Linked DNA regions of Mus musculus. The protein of the gene in region 2 interacts with the protein of the main gene of each other region in a biochemical or structural test. Links are inferred from orthologs where the notes say so. Each region holds a gene or a part of one and is shown on either strand. Other genes may lie near its edges.

The links.
Region 1: the proteins of Lrp1 (region 2) and Apoe form a complex in vitro, tested with the Homo sapiens proteins (2 studies listed by IntAct, with this or other methods). The link is inferred for Mus musculus from reciprocal best matches to the Homo sapiens genes LRP1 and APOE.

What each region holds. Positions count from the first base shown.
Region 1 is NC_000073.6:19,694,898-19,701,658, forward strand, and holds Apoe (apolipoprotein E precursor), read right to left. Parts: upstream 4,292-6,761; 5' UTR 4,114-4,291; intron 3,725-4,113; exon of another isoform or gene 3,627-3,724; intron 3,577-3,626; exon of another isoform or gene 3,507-3,576; intron 3,502-3,506; exon of another isoform or gene 3,357-3,501; 5' UTR 3,334-3,356; coding exon 3,291-3,333; intron 2,751-3,290; coding exon 2,582-2,750; intron 2,207-2,581; coding exon 1,483-2,206; 3' UTR 1,347-1,482; downstream 1-1,346. UniProt on the Homo sapiens protein: APOE is an apolipoprotein, a protein associating with lipid particles, that mainly functions in lipoprotein-mediated lipid transport between organs via the plasma and interstitial fluids.
Region 2 is NC_000076.6:127,556,716-127,564,952, forward strand, and holds part of Lrp1 (prolow-density lipoprotein receptor-related protein 1 precursor), read right to left. Parts: intron 7,079-8,237; coding exon 6,889-7,078; intron 3,945-6,888; coding exon 3,740-3,944; intron 3,446-3,739; coding exon 3,253-3,445; intron 2,508-3,252; coding exon 2,382-2,507; intron 2,245-2,381; coding exon 2,116-2,244; intron 1,941-2,115; coding exon 1,821-1,940; intron 1,473-1,820; coding exon 1,359-1,472; intron 847-1,358; coding exon 697-846; intron 602-696; coding exon 479-601; intron 286-478; coding exon 169-285; intron 22-168; coding exon 1-21. UniProt on the Homo sapiens protein: Endocytic receptor involved in endocytosis and in phagocytosis of apoptotic cells. Required for early embryonic development. Involved in cellular lipid homeostasis.

The DNA.
Region 1 (6,761 bases), on a different chromosome or scaffold from region 2:
AGTTGAGTTCTGAAGCCTTGGCCCGACCCAAGACACAGCTCAAGCCCTAGCCTGCCCCTGTTAGTGGGAGCCCTGCTGAGTCCCTGAGAACTGAGGGGGTGGGAGGAGAAGCCAGCCAGGGGCTCTCCAGCTTCCACCATGACCCCTTTGAGTACCAGGACATGGGGAGAATGGTTTTGTGTCCCCAGCCTGAACTCACTCTCCATACACTTGCTGGGAAAGTCAAAAGGCATGCAGCACAGGCAGGGGAGAAAGAATGGGGCTAAGGCCCCATGACCCAGAGGGAGCAAAGATCCAGCTAACTTCAGAGCAAGGGAGAAAGGCTGAGGTTCCAAAAGCCACGTAGAAACCGTAGAAACCGCCAACCAAAGGCCCAGAGCAAAAGAAACCGCGGGAGGGTGAGATAACAGAGGATCAGGAAAACAGGAAGCCAGAAAAGGAAGCCTAGAAGGGAAAAAGAGGAGAGACAAGGCAAGGAGAGGGTGTCAGATAAGACTAGAGCGGAGGAGGAGAGATAAGACAACCAGAAAAGTAAACACCGCCTGGCGACCCTGGTCTCTTACATGTTGATTGATTCAAGGCATAGCTGTGCAGTGGGTGCTTGGGAAGTTGGGAAAAGTAGCCCAACTGACCCACATGAAGTGGTACATGCCTTTCTCAGTTCCTGTAGAGATTGATTTGAAAACAAAGATTCAAATATTCAAGACCAAACTAGGCTAGAGGGAGTGCAAGGAAAATCAGTTGAGATCCTATTTCAGACTAAAAAGAAGGGTGGATATAGCTAAATAGAAGAGCCTGTACTGGGTGCTGGAGAGATGGCTCAGCAGTTAAGAGCACTGACTACTCTTCTATAAGTCCTGAGTTCAATTCCCAGCAACCACATGGTGGCTCACAACCATCTGTAATGGGACCTGACGCCTGAAGACAGCTGCAGTGTACCTTATACATAAGATAAACAAATCTTAAATAAATAAATAAATAAAATGAGCCCATGCCTAGAATCCAGGGGTAGGGGGCGGTGAAGAGCCCCAGAGGCTGTGGGTGTGGCTCAGTGGTAGAGCTACTGACTAGAATTCCCGTAGTGAGGGGCTGGAGGGGCGTGACTCAGTGGTAGATATGATTCCCCAGTGAGGGGCTGCGGGTGGCTCAGTGGTAGAGCCCCTGCCTAGAATCCCCCAGTGAGGGGCTGTGGGCGTGGCTCAGTGGTAGATCACTTGTTCTTTTATGTTGCTAGGTCCTAGGCTTCATTTCTATTGCTGCAAAACCACCTCCCTCTACAGATAGTGACAGGGCCATGGAATGTGTGCTAGGTAAGGCAAAAAACAATAAACTGAGGCTGAAGCTGATTGGAATCACTCACAGAGACTCAGAATGTGCTCGGAGAATCTTTATTAAGCAAGGGCCACCAGAGGGCCAGAGAGGTGCTTGAGACAGGGCCACCTGGCTGGATATGGATGTTGTTGCAGGACAGGAGAAGGATACTCATTGATTCTCCTGGGCCACTGGGGTGATGATGGGGTTGGTAGCCACAGAGGCCTGTATCTTCTCCATCAGGTTTGCCCACTGGCGATGCATGTCTTCCACTATTGGCTCGAACCAGCCCTTGAGGCGGGCCTGGAAGATCTCCGCCTGCAGGCGTATTTGCTGGGTCTGTTCCTCCATCTTGGAGCGCACCTCCTCCATGTGCTCACGCACCTCCTCTAGGCGGTCACGGGCCTGGTTGCCCACTTCCTCCAGCCGCCCTCGGATGCGGTCACCAAAAGCCTGGGCGCGATCGCGCAGAGGCTGGGCGGCCCCAGCGCCTAGGTTGGCAGTGCGCTGGCGACCTTGCTCCACCAGAGGCCCCAGGCGCTCACGGATGGCACTCACACCGCGCTCGGCGCCCTCGCGTGCCCCTGCCTTGTACACAGCTAGGCGCTTCTGCAGATCCTCGGCATCCCGCATCAAGCGCTTGCGCATCTTGCGCAGGTGTGTGGAGAGCCGCGCCCGTATCTCCTCTGTGCTCTGGCCCAGCATGGTGTGCACCTCGTTGCGGTACTGCCCGAGTCGGTTGCGTAGATCCTCCATGTCGGCTCCGAGTCGGGCCTGTGCCGCCTGCACCTCTTTGCCCAGCCTGGCCCGTGTCTCCTCCGCCACTGGACCCAGCTGTTCCTCCAGCTCCTTTTTGTAAGCCTTTACTTCCGTCATAGTGTCCTCCATCAGTGCCCTGCAGGCCCAGAGGAAACACAGGAAGGAGATGAAGGCAGGACAGAAGGGCCAGAAACCACAGAGCAAGAGGTGATGGTACTCGCTTGTGTTCCCAGAAGTTGAGAAGCTGCGGCATAAGAATTGCAGAGCCTTCGAAGCCAGCTTGAGTTACAGAATGGGATCCTGTCTCAAGAAGCCAAAAGCCAATCGACCAAGCAAGTAATAAATGTCTGTTCCTCCCAGCATCCAGAAGGCTAAAGAAGGCAGGAGGATTCAAGGCCAACCTGGGCTACACACTAATTGAGAAAGGAAACAAGAAGGGGCTGGGGACCCAGATAGGAGGCAACCCTGGATCAGCTGGTGCCTGCCGAGGGTGAAAGAGCTGGACACTCACGTCAGTTCTTGTGTGACTTGGGAGCTCTGCAGCTCTTCCTGGACCTGGTCAGACAGCGTCTGCACCCAGCGCAGGTAATCCCAGAAGCGGTTCAGGGCCTGCTCCCAGGGTTGGTTGCTTTGCCACTCGAGCTGATCTGTCACCTCCGGCTCTCCCTCGGCTAGGCATCCTGTGTAGAGTAAGTTTAAGGCTGGGTCAGGACCTACAGTCTTTTTGGGTCTCTTTGAAGTGGGTCTGGAGGCTGTGGAGTCTGTTTAGATACTACAAGCATGCACTGTCTTGTATCCTATGTAGTTCAGAGCCGAGACTAGGCAGGTGTGGAATTAGAAAATGTATACCCCACTTTTAAGAGCAACTAAGAAATCAACTTTTTATTGTGTGTGTGTGTGTGTGTGTGTGTGTGTGTGTGTGTACCCTTGGAGGTCAGAGTTCTAGAGGGAATTGGCTCTCTCCTTCCACTATGTTGGTCTCAGAGTTAAGTCTTCAAGCTTTATGATAAGCACCTTTACCCACTAAGCCATCAATCCTCTTATAGTTAGGGGAAATCAAGGCCTAAAGAGTATATAAAACAGCTGCTCAGGGCTATTGAATCTCAGAGAGGTCTCAGAACCGCCTCAGCCTCAACCCACCAGCAGAAGAGATCTAGGGCTAGAATAGAGTCCACAGAGGAGCAGAAAAAGCGGCACCACAGCAAGTCCTTGCTCCATACCTGTCAGCAATGTGACCAACAGCACGGCCCACAGAGCCTTCATCTTCGCAATTGTGATTGGCCAGTCTGCGGAGGGAAAAATTGTCTTTGAACACCAGGGGGCGGGGGTGGAGGGACTCCGGCCACCCAGAGAACCCCATCTTCCCTTCTCAGATCTGTGAGCCATCACAAACATCTCCAAAACAGAGCACCCGCTCTTCCCAAAGGTCTGTTTACCTCCCCTTGCCGAGTTCGCTATCTCGGCACCCCGGGGTGGATCCGCTGCCAAAAATTCCAGCTCCCTCTCCTAGGGTTCAAATTCCACTTCACAGAGGGCCAGCGGGTGGTCCAGCTTACATTCCTCTTTCTTCCCGGCTAAGTCCTGCTTTCCATTTTGTGTTAATTTAACACGATTTTTAATCGTCCTCCATCCCTGCGAAGTGGTACCCTCCCACAACTACAGAACTTAGGGAGCTCAGCCATGAGGAGCCACAGTTTGAAACCAGTCCGGGTTACTTGGGGACTGTGATGGAAATCAGTAGGTATTTATATAAAAGCAGCCTAAGGCTCATCCCGAGTTTTTTCGCCATAGGATGGTTCCTAGTTGAGCCGGTACGCCGTGCACCGACAGTCCCGTACTCCTTCCTGGAGGTAACCCCTCCACCTGCTCTGACTCTGGCAAAGGCTAGTTACCTCGAGTCCTTAGTTTGTCCCCCAAGACTTCTATCGTGCTGCCTGCTTTTCCAATTCTTGTGCCTGTTTCCTGGACTCCGGGGGATCTCAAGGTTCCCAGCCCACATCCTACCAAGGTCCCTGGGTGAATCCCCAGCCCAGCTTGTCTTACCAGCTCCTTCCGAAACAAGTCCTTAGCCTCCAGGGTCTGAGCAGGGGATCGGATCCCAGACCGGTCCAATTATAGGACTCCCCCTGTCCCGCCCCCTCCTCAGGGCTAGGGCGGGCTGTGCCAGCCCCCTGTCACGAGGCGGGTTGTTCTCTCCCCCTTCACAGCAGGGCAGAGGAAAGAGGTGGAGTTTGGATGCCTTGTGACCCCCCGCTCCCCTCCCCCGCCAACAAAGGGAGCGGACACCTCATTGAATAATCCAGGCCTTGGTACTGGGGCACTGAGAACCGCTCCTTCCCTTTCCCCGCGGGGTCTGGTGCATTGTAAAGAAAAGAGCTGGCAGCCTAAATGGAAATGGGTGGGTGGGGGCTAAGAGGCTCAGCTTCTGGGGTGAAGATCGTTGTTCTGGGATCCCTCGTTGTTGATTCCTCCACCACAGGTGAACTCTTTCCATTCCAAGGCTGGGACGTGCTCCAGTTCCTTCAGGAGCTGTTCAGTGGTGGCTCCCGATGGGTTTGAAGCCATACATTAAGCCAAGCCCTGGGAAACCAAGCGTTGATGCTCCTGATCTGTTTCTGGCGATTGCCAGATGTGTCACCTTGGGAGGGAAGAGCTACCCCTACAGAGCACATTTTAAAAAGTTGTTTTGAGATAAGATTCTCAGGCTGCCCTCTAACCCACAAAGGTCCTTCTGCCTCTGCTGTAGCATGCTGGGACTGCAGGTGTGCACCCCTGCATGTGCATTTTCCACTCTCAAGCCACTTCTCTTTTCTTTTTCCTCATAAAAGCAGAAGAGCAGGAGCTGGAGAGATGACTCAGAGGTTAGGAGCACTGACTGCATTTCACAGGACCTAGGTTCAAAATCGCAGCACCCACACAGCAGCTCACAACTGTAACACCAAGATCTGCTACCCTCACGAAGGCATACATGCAGGCAAAACACTAATGCACATAAAAAAAAAAAAAAAAAAAAAAAAAGACAAGCCATAAGTCATTCACTGGAACATGGGTCTATAGTGCTAGCCATATGCAAAGCTGAGGCAGGAAGATCCCGAGCTCAGGTAATAGAATGAAGTCCTGGCTAAAAAGTGGAAAAGCCAGCTGGGCGTGGTGGCACATGCCTTTAATCCCATAATCCCAGCACTTGGAGGCAGAGGCAGGTGAATTTCTGAGTTGGAGGCCAGCCTGGTCTACAAAGTGAGTTCCAGGACCGACAGGACTACACAGAGAAACCCTGTCTTGAAAAACAAAAAAAAACCCAACAACAACAAAACCCCCAAAAAGTGGGAAAGCCATTGTACCTGGGAAGTCAGGTAGGACAAGGGGCTCAGAGACCACAGCAAGCTTGCTAGAAGCACTGCCTGCACAAGGTTCCCTGTTCCCAGCTGTTGATGGCAGGAGAGAAGCCACATAGCAGTGTTTGGCACCAGACACGGCAAAACATGATTCTGCAGGATGGGCAGAGGCGGAACACCTGGCTCCAAGGGTACGTACAGGGTGCCTGGCCAGGCCCAGGCCTGTTAGCTTTGGCTTCAGAAAACACTGGCAAGGACTGGGTGTGGTGAGATGATTTTCATGGGTTGCTAAGGGCCAGCTCCCATCTCCAGCCCAGGCAGTAGAGAGGGTCTTAGTGCTGCGGTCTAGGACACTGACCAGTTCATCGTGAGTCTTTGCTTCCCTTGGGATGCCATGAGGTGCAGCAGTGAGATGCAGAGCCCAATCTGAGGCCCTTATCGCACACCCCAGAGCAGGCCTCACGGAAAAGCACTATAGGGAACCCAGCAGCACCTGCCTGACACGTGAGGCCCAGAGCTACATCTTCAACAAAATTTAAAAAACAAAACAACTTGACATTTCCTGTTTCAGCCTGGGAAGGTGCTAGGGCCCGTTCCTCCCAGAGTAACTTTCCTTATTGTGCTGAACTTCCAGGAACTCCGTTTCTTCCTGAAGTTTCTGAGACCTCTGACCTTCCCACTGGGAGAAAGTCAGCACAAGCTACCACCTCAGCCCGTTTTGGGACAGGGAGGCTCCTGAGCCCCGTCTCCCTGCCCCCACCCTGTTTACAGAGACAAAGTCCTCTGCCAGCTCTCGGGGCCAGACTGCACAGAGGCGAGTGACCTGGAGCCACCCTCCTGGTGAGGCCAGGCCTCTGATGTTCCGGCAGTGTAAGTCCCCAAGAGCAGAGGGTGTGACCATGCCTGGCCAAGCTTTCTCTAAACTGCTTGGTGCTGCTGTGCTTTCTGAACCCTCGGCGCCGCCTGCTGGCAACCATGTCAACAACTGGAGAAAACCGAGGCCTCCCAGATCCTATTTTTTTTTCCACGTATATTTTTTGTTTTTTAAGTTTTTTTTTTTCTGTAAAATGTCCCGGTTTTCCATAACTTATAAACATGATTTCTATGGAGGGGTGGAGGGGGAAGTGACAGGCGGCTCGGCGCTCCTCTGCTGCCCTCAGGAGGACATCAAGTCTTTCCTTTCTGAGCCTGTGTACAGCCGCCTCTGCGCCTCTGCCTGGGCGCTCACAATCGAATGCCCTTCAGATCCCAGGACTCCCTCCGGGACCCCAGGCCCCCTGGGCACTGTCCCCTGGCGCTGGGGATCCTTGGGCATGGGAGGTCCCCTCCTTCCCACTGCCCCAACCCCAAGAGAGA
Region 2 (8,237 bases):
AGGGGCCACATGTCTTGCCTTCTGCATGAGGGGCAAGGAGACACAGAGAGACTCAGGAGGGGACAGGGCAGAGCAGGCAGCCGTGATAACATGGCCCACTGGTATATGGACCCTTCTTTAGGGGGTAGGACACTGACCGCCCTGAACCGGATTCAGGCCACTGCTTACCACAGTGAGCTGCCTCATCGGAGCCATCCCCGCAATCATCGCTACCGTCACACAGCCACTGCTTGGAGATACACCGGTGGTTCTGGCACTCGAACTGTGCCTCTGAGCAGAACTTGTCTGGAATAGAGGAGAAAGTAATAAGAAGACAAGGAAAGGCAGGGCAGGTGAGCGACTCATCACAAACTGAAGAAGTGACTCTATTCTGGAGTCTGAGAGGATGAGACACAGTGGAACCCAGGTGTCTCCCCGTGTAGGGCGCTTTCCATAAGGACTGTGAGGTGGGAGCTGGGTAGGGTCCCAGGGCACTCACTGCAGTGGGTCTCGTCCTCGCCGTTCTCACAGTCATCCTCCTTGTCACACGTCCAGCTCATGGGGATACAGCGCCCGCTGGGGCAGGCAAAGTAATTGAGCGGGCACCTAGGGCGCTTCACACCTGGGGGTAGAAGGGAGATGTGAAGACTCTGCCAGCCATGAAGACACTGCCAGCCCCGGGTCTCCCGTTCACCCGGCGAGCTTCCGCTGGCCAACCTGGACAGTCACGTTCATCGCTGTAGTCTCCACAGTCGTTGGCGCCATCACACACCCAGCTAGGTGCGTAGCACAGGGATGTCCGCTCGCACGGCTGGAAGAGGACACCTTTCACGCCCAGGCGGAAATAGCTGCTGCAGTCTGTGGTACCTGGTGGAGGGAGGGTGGGTCAGTGGGGTCACGAGAGAAGAGGAAGGGCAGGGCGCCACCTAGGGGCCAATGTGGAAGATGGAATAGAAGGGGTGGTGAGGGTGGGTGAGGGGTCACACCTAGCTCCTTCTAAGACACACTATGGGAGCAATTGCTGGCCCCATGTTAGACTTATGGTTTCAGATTTGGTGCCTGCTGCCCACTGACTCACTACCTCTATGGAGGGAGAAAAAGCAAGGTCAGAGAGGATAGAGGCTACTATTTGGGGCCAGGGGGGCTGAGAGGAAATAAGGCAGAACAGCCTGAGGCAGGAGGGACAGGAAAGTAGGCAGGAGCAGGCTGTCAGTCATGGGCCAGCTGTCAGTCATGGGCAGGCTGTCAGTCATGTGCCAACTGTCAATCATGGGCAGGCTGTCAGTCATGGGCCAACTGTCAGTCATGAGCAGACTGTCAGTCATGAGTAGGCCATCAGTCATGGGCCAGCTGTCAGTCATGAGCAGGCTGTTACTCACTGCAATTCATCTCATCCGAGGCATCCTCACAATCCACAAACTGGTTGCAGCGACTGGAGTTCCCGATGCAGGACCCATCCCGGCAGCGGAACTCACCCACACCACAGGCAGTCTCTAGAACAGGGCCCACCAGTACCATCAGGCCAGTGTCCCTCTGCAGGGCCAGAAAGGCCCAGGACAGAGTTCTCGCCTGTCCTCAGAGTGCCTGGGGACAAATGCTCAGCCGGAGTGAGGACGGGGTACAGTCTGAGACTAAAAACCAGGGGTGAGGGCAGGGGTGAAGCAGGGGTAAGGCAGGAGGCTAGGATGAAGCTGGGATGAGGCAGGGGTGAGGCAGGAGGCAGTGATGAGGCAGATGGCTGTGGTGAGGCAGGAGGCTAGGGTGAGGCAGATGGCTGTGGTGAGGTAGGGGTAAGGCAGGGGTGTGGCAGGGTACTGGGGGTGAGGCTGGGATGTACTCACTGTTGCAAGGAATCTCATCAGAGCCATCCCCACAGTCATCCACCCCATTGCACCACAGCATGTTGGATACACAGCGACCATTGTTACACTGGCGGAAAGTCTTCTTGCAGCGGCGTGAGTCTGTGAGGGGAGGGTGTGCGTGGTCACAGCAGGCATAGGAAGGGGCTTCTTTCCCCCCTCCCCACCAATGACCGTCCCTTCCTAAGGTCCAAGCTCTGCTCTTCATGAGCTGAGGCTATGGAGCTGGGTCACATGGCACAGGGGACTGGGGGAGGGGCTGGAGCAGGGCCCTTACTGCAGTAGGAGGGCTTCTCATCGGACTTGTCCTTGCAGTGGGAGACGCCATCACAGGTGAGGCTGAAGCTGATACATTCCCCATTGGCACACTCAAACTCATCTTGTGCCCGACAAGAGGAGTTCACAGCTGCGGAGGGAGAAGGTGTCATGAGTTGCGACCTAGCCTGAGTCCAGCCTTGTAGCCTGGGCTGGAGTCTGGAATAAGGGTCTCTTGTGCTGACACCCCACAGCAGCCCCTGTCCCAGCTCCAACTTGCTTCCTCACCCCGGCAGGTGAAGTCCTCCTGGAGGATCCGGCCCCCTCGACAGGAACAGTTGACGTGGCCTTGGTGGGTGAGCAGACACAGATCCTGGCAGCCTCCATTGTTGATACGGCAGGGGGAGAGTTCACCTGAGCAGGGGTGGGAGTGGGGGGACCGAAAGCTGAAGAGGGTTCCCTGGCCCTGTACACTCCCAAATTGCCCACCTAACATTCCAGAGCTCTGCACGACCCCAGCAGCCATGGGGGTTCACAACAGCGGGGAGAACCTCGCATGGGGTGGCATGTGGACACTGCACACACACACACACACACACACACACACACAAGAGAGGGCCAGGTGTAGGTATGTATGTCTATGTGCAGGCTGGGGGAGGGGATGATAGGCTACACCTGGTATGTGGGTATAAGGTAAGGTTTAGGGTGTAGGTGGCTCTGGGTAGATGGAATTATTAGGCTGAGTGATAGGATCTCCTGGGATGGGGACGAGCCTAGGGTCATGAACAGTACGAATGCATGTGCATGTGTGCATGTGTGTGTGCGTGTGCGTGAGCGCATGCAGTTTTGCATGAGATGGACCTGAGTATATCAAGTCCATGTATGTACACAGGTGTCTTGAGGGAGTTGGGTTTGAGAAATGTTGGGGCCTTAGGAGTTTCTGGGTGCCAAAGGTATGTAAAGGTATTTGTCTGTACAGAAGAAATCCTGGGAGAGACAAGACTATCATATATGTATTATGCAGTCACAGAGATCAGGAGAGACAAGACTGTCATGTGCACATGTGTGCAGTCACAGGGAACAGGAGAGACAAGACTGTCGTGTGCACATGTGTGCAGGCAGAGATCAGGAGAGCACTGCGGGTGGTAGCCCCACTCACAGCTGTTGGTGTCGTTGGCCACGGCGATGATGCCCATGGGTTGCTGGGGAATGTCCACCCGAAGCAGCTTCATGTCGCTGCCCACATACTTGTTGGCTCGCTGCACAGCCCGCCGCACCCAGTCAGTCCAGAAAATGTGCTCTCCGTACACCGCCAACCCAAAGGGGTGGACGGGCTCCGACTTTAGGATCACCTGATGAGACAGAAGCACCAGCGTCTCTGCATTCGAGCCCCTCATCGGTCTTAACAGCACAGTGAGGGGAGGCAAGAGGGCCGTGGGAAGTCACAGACCGTCTGGGAAGGATCTGGCTTCGTCTTCTCTCTTTTCTAAGTGTTGTCAGAACCACGCAGGGCAAAGGCTACCCACAGTTAAGGACTCGAATGGGACCTCTCACCGTGTCCTGGGTCTCCCTGTCTGGTGCTCTGCCCTGACTTGGTTCCCTCCACATCCCCACCCACCCACCCACCCACCCACCCCTACACTCACATAGCGGTGGGAGCCGTCGTACTCGCAGCGCTCGATCTTGTCCAAGGTGGCATCCGAGAAGTACAGCTTCTCCGCCCGGTGGTCGATGGCCAACCCATTGGGCGTGCGGATGTCCTTCTCAATGAGGGTCAGGACGTTGGCTCCGGATAGGGCTGCCCGCATGATGCTTGGATGGAGCTCGTTCCAATTGGTCCAGAACATCAGGCTGATGGGAAACGGGCAAAGGGATCAGGAACCTAAGGAGTCAACTAGAACCCAGGATGAGCCTCACAACCCGAGAGCCACGAAAGCCAACATAGCCTCGGTGCCTGAGACTAGCCCAGCCAAGGCACTGAGTTACTGCACTATGTGGCTAGATCTGACTGTGTGTGCCCACAGTCACGTACTGCAGTATGGGAAGGGACCATCTGCATTTGCTGAGACTGGAGGCTGTGTGGCCAAGCGAGTCAGCTCCCAGCCCCAAGTCCTGGCTCCACCACTTTCCAGCCAGGTAGGCTGGGGGGGGGGGGGGGGGGGAGTAGTAGGTTGCCTACTTTAGGCAACTTGCCCGACCACTCTGACTGACCTATTTTTCTATTATTTAGTGGGGGATAATATTGCTGCAGAGGTTGTAAAAACTAAGTACTGTGTATTCATCTCAATGAGAGTTTTCCATGTATTTACTGCTAACTGCTTTCTCTGTATCAAAGCTGGCTCTTTAACAAACTACCCAGGAAACTCTTGCTAAGTATTGACTATTTCCTTGGGCACATATGGATTGTACCCTCAAAAATAGTTTTCTGGGGCTGAAGAGATGACTCAGAGGTTAAGAGCATTGGCTGCTCTTCCAAGGGCCCTGAGTTCAATTCCCAGCAACCACATGGTGTCTCATAGCCATCTACAATGAGATCTGGTGCCCTCTTCTGGCCTGCATGCATACATGCAGGCAGAACACTGTATACATAATAAATCAATCTTAAAAAAAAAAAACAAAAAAAGTTTTCTTCACAACATAAGGACATGTGAACTTAAGGCCAAGCCATGCCCCACTGTTTGTGGAGTGGTGCTAAGGGCCTGGGTGTGGGGTGGGGAGGATCAAGCACAGCACAGCGGCAGCAGGGTCGCCCTTGGACAGCTTGATTCATTCACTTGACCTGGGGTGGTGAACCCTTTGCACATGTTCCTTTGAGATGCAGCAAAGAAAACAGAAACAGTTTCAGAATAGACCTGGCCACCGTGCCTCAGCCCCTCCCTTCTCTGACCTCACTGATGAACTTGTAACTTGTCTGTTTGAACTTGAACTTGTAACTTGTCTGTTTACCCCCTTCGTTCTCTTCTCTCTCTAGGATCACCAGCCTGGGCTTGAGGTTCTTTACCTCCTGATCCTCCTGCCTCCACTTTCCAAGTGCTAGGATTACGGGAACATGCTGCCATACGTGTGCCAGGCTAACCGTCTGCCAGATGAGCTACATTCCAGCTCAACCACAGCGTAACGCTTGCCTCCCTCTTTGAGGCCCTGGAGACCCATTCCTCAGGGACAGGATCGGCCTGTTGTTGTTTATGAGACCGAGTTTCCTGTAGCTCTGACTGTCTTGGCACTGTCTCAGTAGACCAGGCTACCCCTGAACTCAAGAGATCTGCCTGCTCTGCTTCCCCAATGCATCACACCACACACAGGACTCTTTATGGATGGAGGTGGCGACCCATTCAGCCTGTCCTGGGGCAGCAGCTGTAGCATGCTTTCTCTCTCTCTCTCTCCCTTCTTCAGATAGGGCCTGTTGTATCCCAGGCTACCCTTCAACTAGTTACATAGCTTAATGACCTCAACTCCCACCGTTCCTACATCCACCTCCCCAGTGCTGAGATTATAGTCATGGACCACCTTGCCTGGCCCGAGTGCTGTTTCCTGGCTTGTGCAGCCTGGCTTTACAGTGATTTCCACACTCTCAAGTCCAGCCTAGACCACACTCACAGCGGAGCACCAAATTGACTTACATGGGATGTACCCTGAGTTAAGAGTTTGGCAAAGCTGCTTTGTGGGATGGTGGGGTGGGGGAGGGGAGGCTTCCTTGGGGCAGAGGGTCAGCAACTAGAAATACAGTGGACGTTCTACCTGTCCAACTATCTGATTTCCAAGGACACTAATGCTTCAGTGAGGATCAGGAGGAGTATGGCTGGCTGGCTGAACCACTATCCTGACATACTGGCTCCTTCCAGCTCTCTCCCCTAACCTAAGACAATCTCAGCCCTCTAGTCACCCCTGAGCTGCCTCCCTGATGACATTCTCCCAGACTTCCACAGGGCAGGTCTTTGGCAGTCATGAAATCCTCCACCCTCTGCCAACCAGTCCATTCTCTGTGTACTTGGGTTTTTTTGAAGCCACTGGCTCTGGGGCTCTAGAGAGAGAGAGAGAAAGAGAGAGCACTTTCCTGGGCTCAGCCAGGAGGGACTTGGTTGAAACCGAGGATGCCTCTTTTAGAATGGCAGAAAAATATCATGACAGCCCCTCCCCAGAGGCTCTAGGCCCAGGAAGGACAGGCCCCAGGACCAGCCCAGACAGGTGAGGTCACCAAGGCTGTGGCATTGCTTTAGTTTCCTAGTGAGGCTGATAGAAAGCATTCTGATTCCAGCTGAACTGGGGAGGGCAGGTCGCTCAGACGTGAGCCAGGACTGCTATGCAGAGGGTGTGACTCACTAGTAACCTGCACATCAAAATGAAGAAAGACAGGGTAGGCAGGACAGGTAGACCAGACTCCCTGCCTGCTCAGGCTAGCCTTGCCCAAATGGTGGGCAGTCCCGTTGCTGTCCTGTTTGACCTTTTCTTGCTTTTCTCACTTTGGGGCCTTGTGCTCACAACTGCCTTCACAATGCCTCTTGGTCACTGTAATAAGACCTCTGCTCAGCAAGGGGTTTGAACAGGCCCAGCCCATATCCTCAAGGTCAGTGAGCCTTCGCTGAAGCTTTGAGTCCCACGGTACTGTGTGATGAATGCCAGTCACAAAGCCAGAGGCATCTCCCACGGCCCTCAACCTCCCTTCATTTCTGACACTTGTATTAAGCAGCGCCCTGAGAGGTGATGCATCTCACTGAGGCCAGAAATGGTGGGCCCTGCCTGTCCCCTTTCTGTTCCCGTATGACATAGCTCCCACCCCCCAGGCCCAGCAGCTCACTTCTGGCACTCATCCAGCACAAAGGCTCTCGGGTGGTCGTCTCCGGACATGGTGATGACTGTCTCCCTCTCGAAGGCCCCTGGGCGAGTCTGGTCCACGGTGTGGCGGGTGATGGTGGATGTGGTGTAGCTTGTCCAGTACAGTGTGTCCCAGCCACGGTGATAGGCCAGGCCTTCCACAGAGCCCACATCTGTGAAGAGACAGGAACAGCTGTGGGTTGAGAAGGGCCAACCAGCAGAAGCAGAGGGGCAGCCTGGTAGGTGCTAAGGGCATGACTGGCTCCCCTGGAATTGTGGGAACCGGGAGTTCCTCCGAGGGCTCTTTGGTCAGACTTGCCAGGGCCCCAGGGCCCCTCACAGAGCCACGTCACACCACCTGCGTCATGATCCGTGGCACCTTCCTTCCTCTTCTCTTGCCCACCCCCCACTCCCGGCCTATGTGTGGTCACACTCTTCAGAAGTGGAGTTCTGTTTATTCATGTATGGGGGAGATTCCGGCTAACTGAATTCTACTATTCCTCTGGGGCCAGACTGGAAAGCTTCCTGCTTGCAGAGGCCTTGAACTGGAATTTTTTGGGGGGAGGGGGAGCATGGGGTGGTCGAGACAGGGTTTCTCTGTGTGGCCCTGGCTGTCCTGAACTCACTCTGTAGACCAGGCTGGCCTCAAACTTAGAAATACACCTGCCTCTGCCTCCCAAGTGCTGGGATTGAAGGCGTGCGCCATCACGCTGGGCTGAGCTGGAATGTTTTATAAAGCAGATGTAACTAAAAAGACAGAGCTGAACAGTGCTGTGAGCAGCAGCCAGCGGAGGCTCCGGGGCTCCCTGGGGCGTGTCTATGTGACTGCCAGAGGCGGAGCACACTGTAGGACGGACAACAGAGAGCGTGATAGGAGGGGCTGGCTCCCAGTCTCTCCTGATGGAGCTGAGATTGAGAGTATCCAGTTTAGGTGCTGGGGCTGGGCCCAACGTCCTGCACATGCTGAGCACGAGCTCCACCAGCCCTCAGACGCTCCATTTTTAGACACAGACAGGATGTCGTAGAGAAAGTGTGCCAGGAGACAGAAGGACAGAGGGACAGGTCTATTCTTTTCTATGCAGTACCTAGTCAGCACCTGGCTGGTCTGAATGGACCTCCTGGATGAAGAGAGGAACAAAGGAGGAATGGGAATAGACCTTGGGTAACACAGTGCTCACCTACCTAGCATGCACAAAGCTCTGGGTTCAAGTCCTACCACAACATAAAAAAAAAGGGTATGGTAGTGGCGCACACCTATAATCCCAGATGACCCCAGTGCTGTGCAGGCAGGAGGATCAGAAGTTCAAATCAAGGTTATGTGTGGCTACAAAA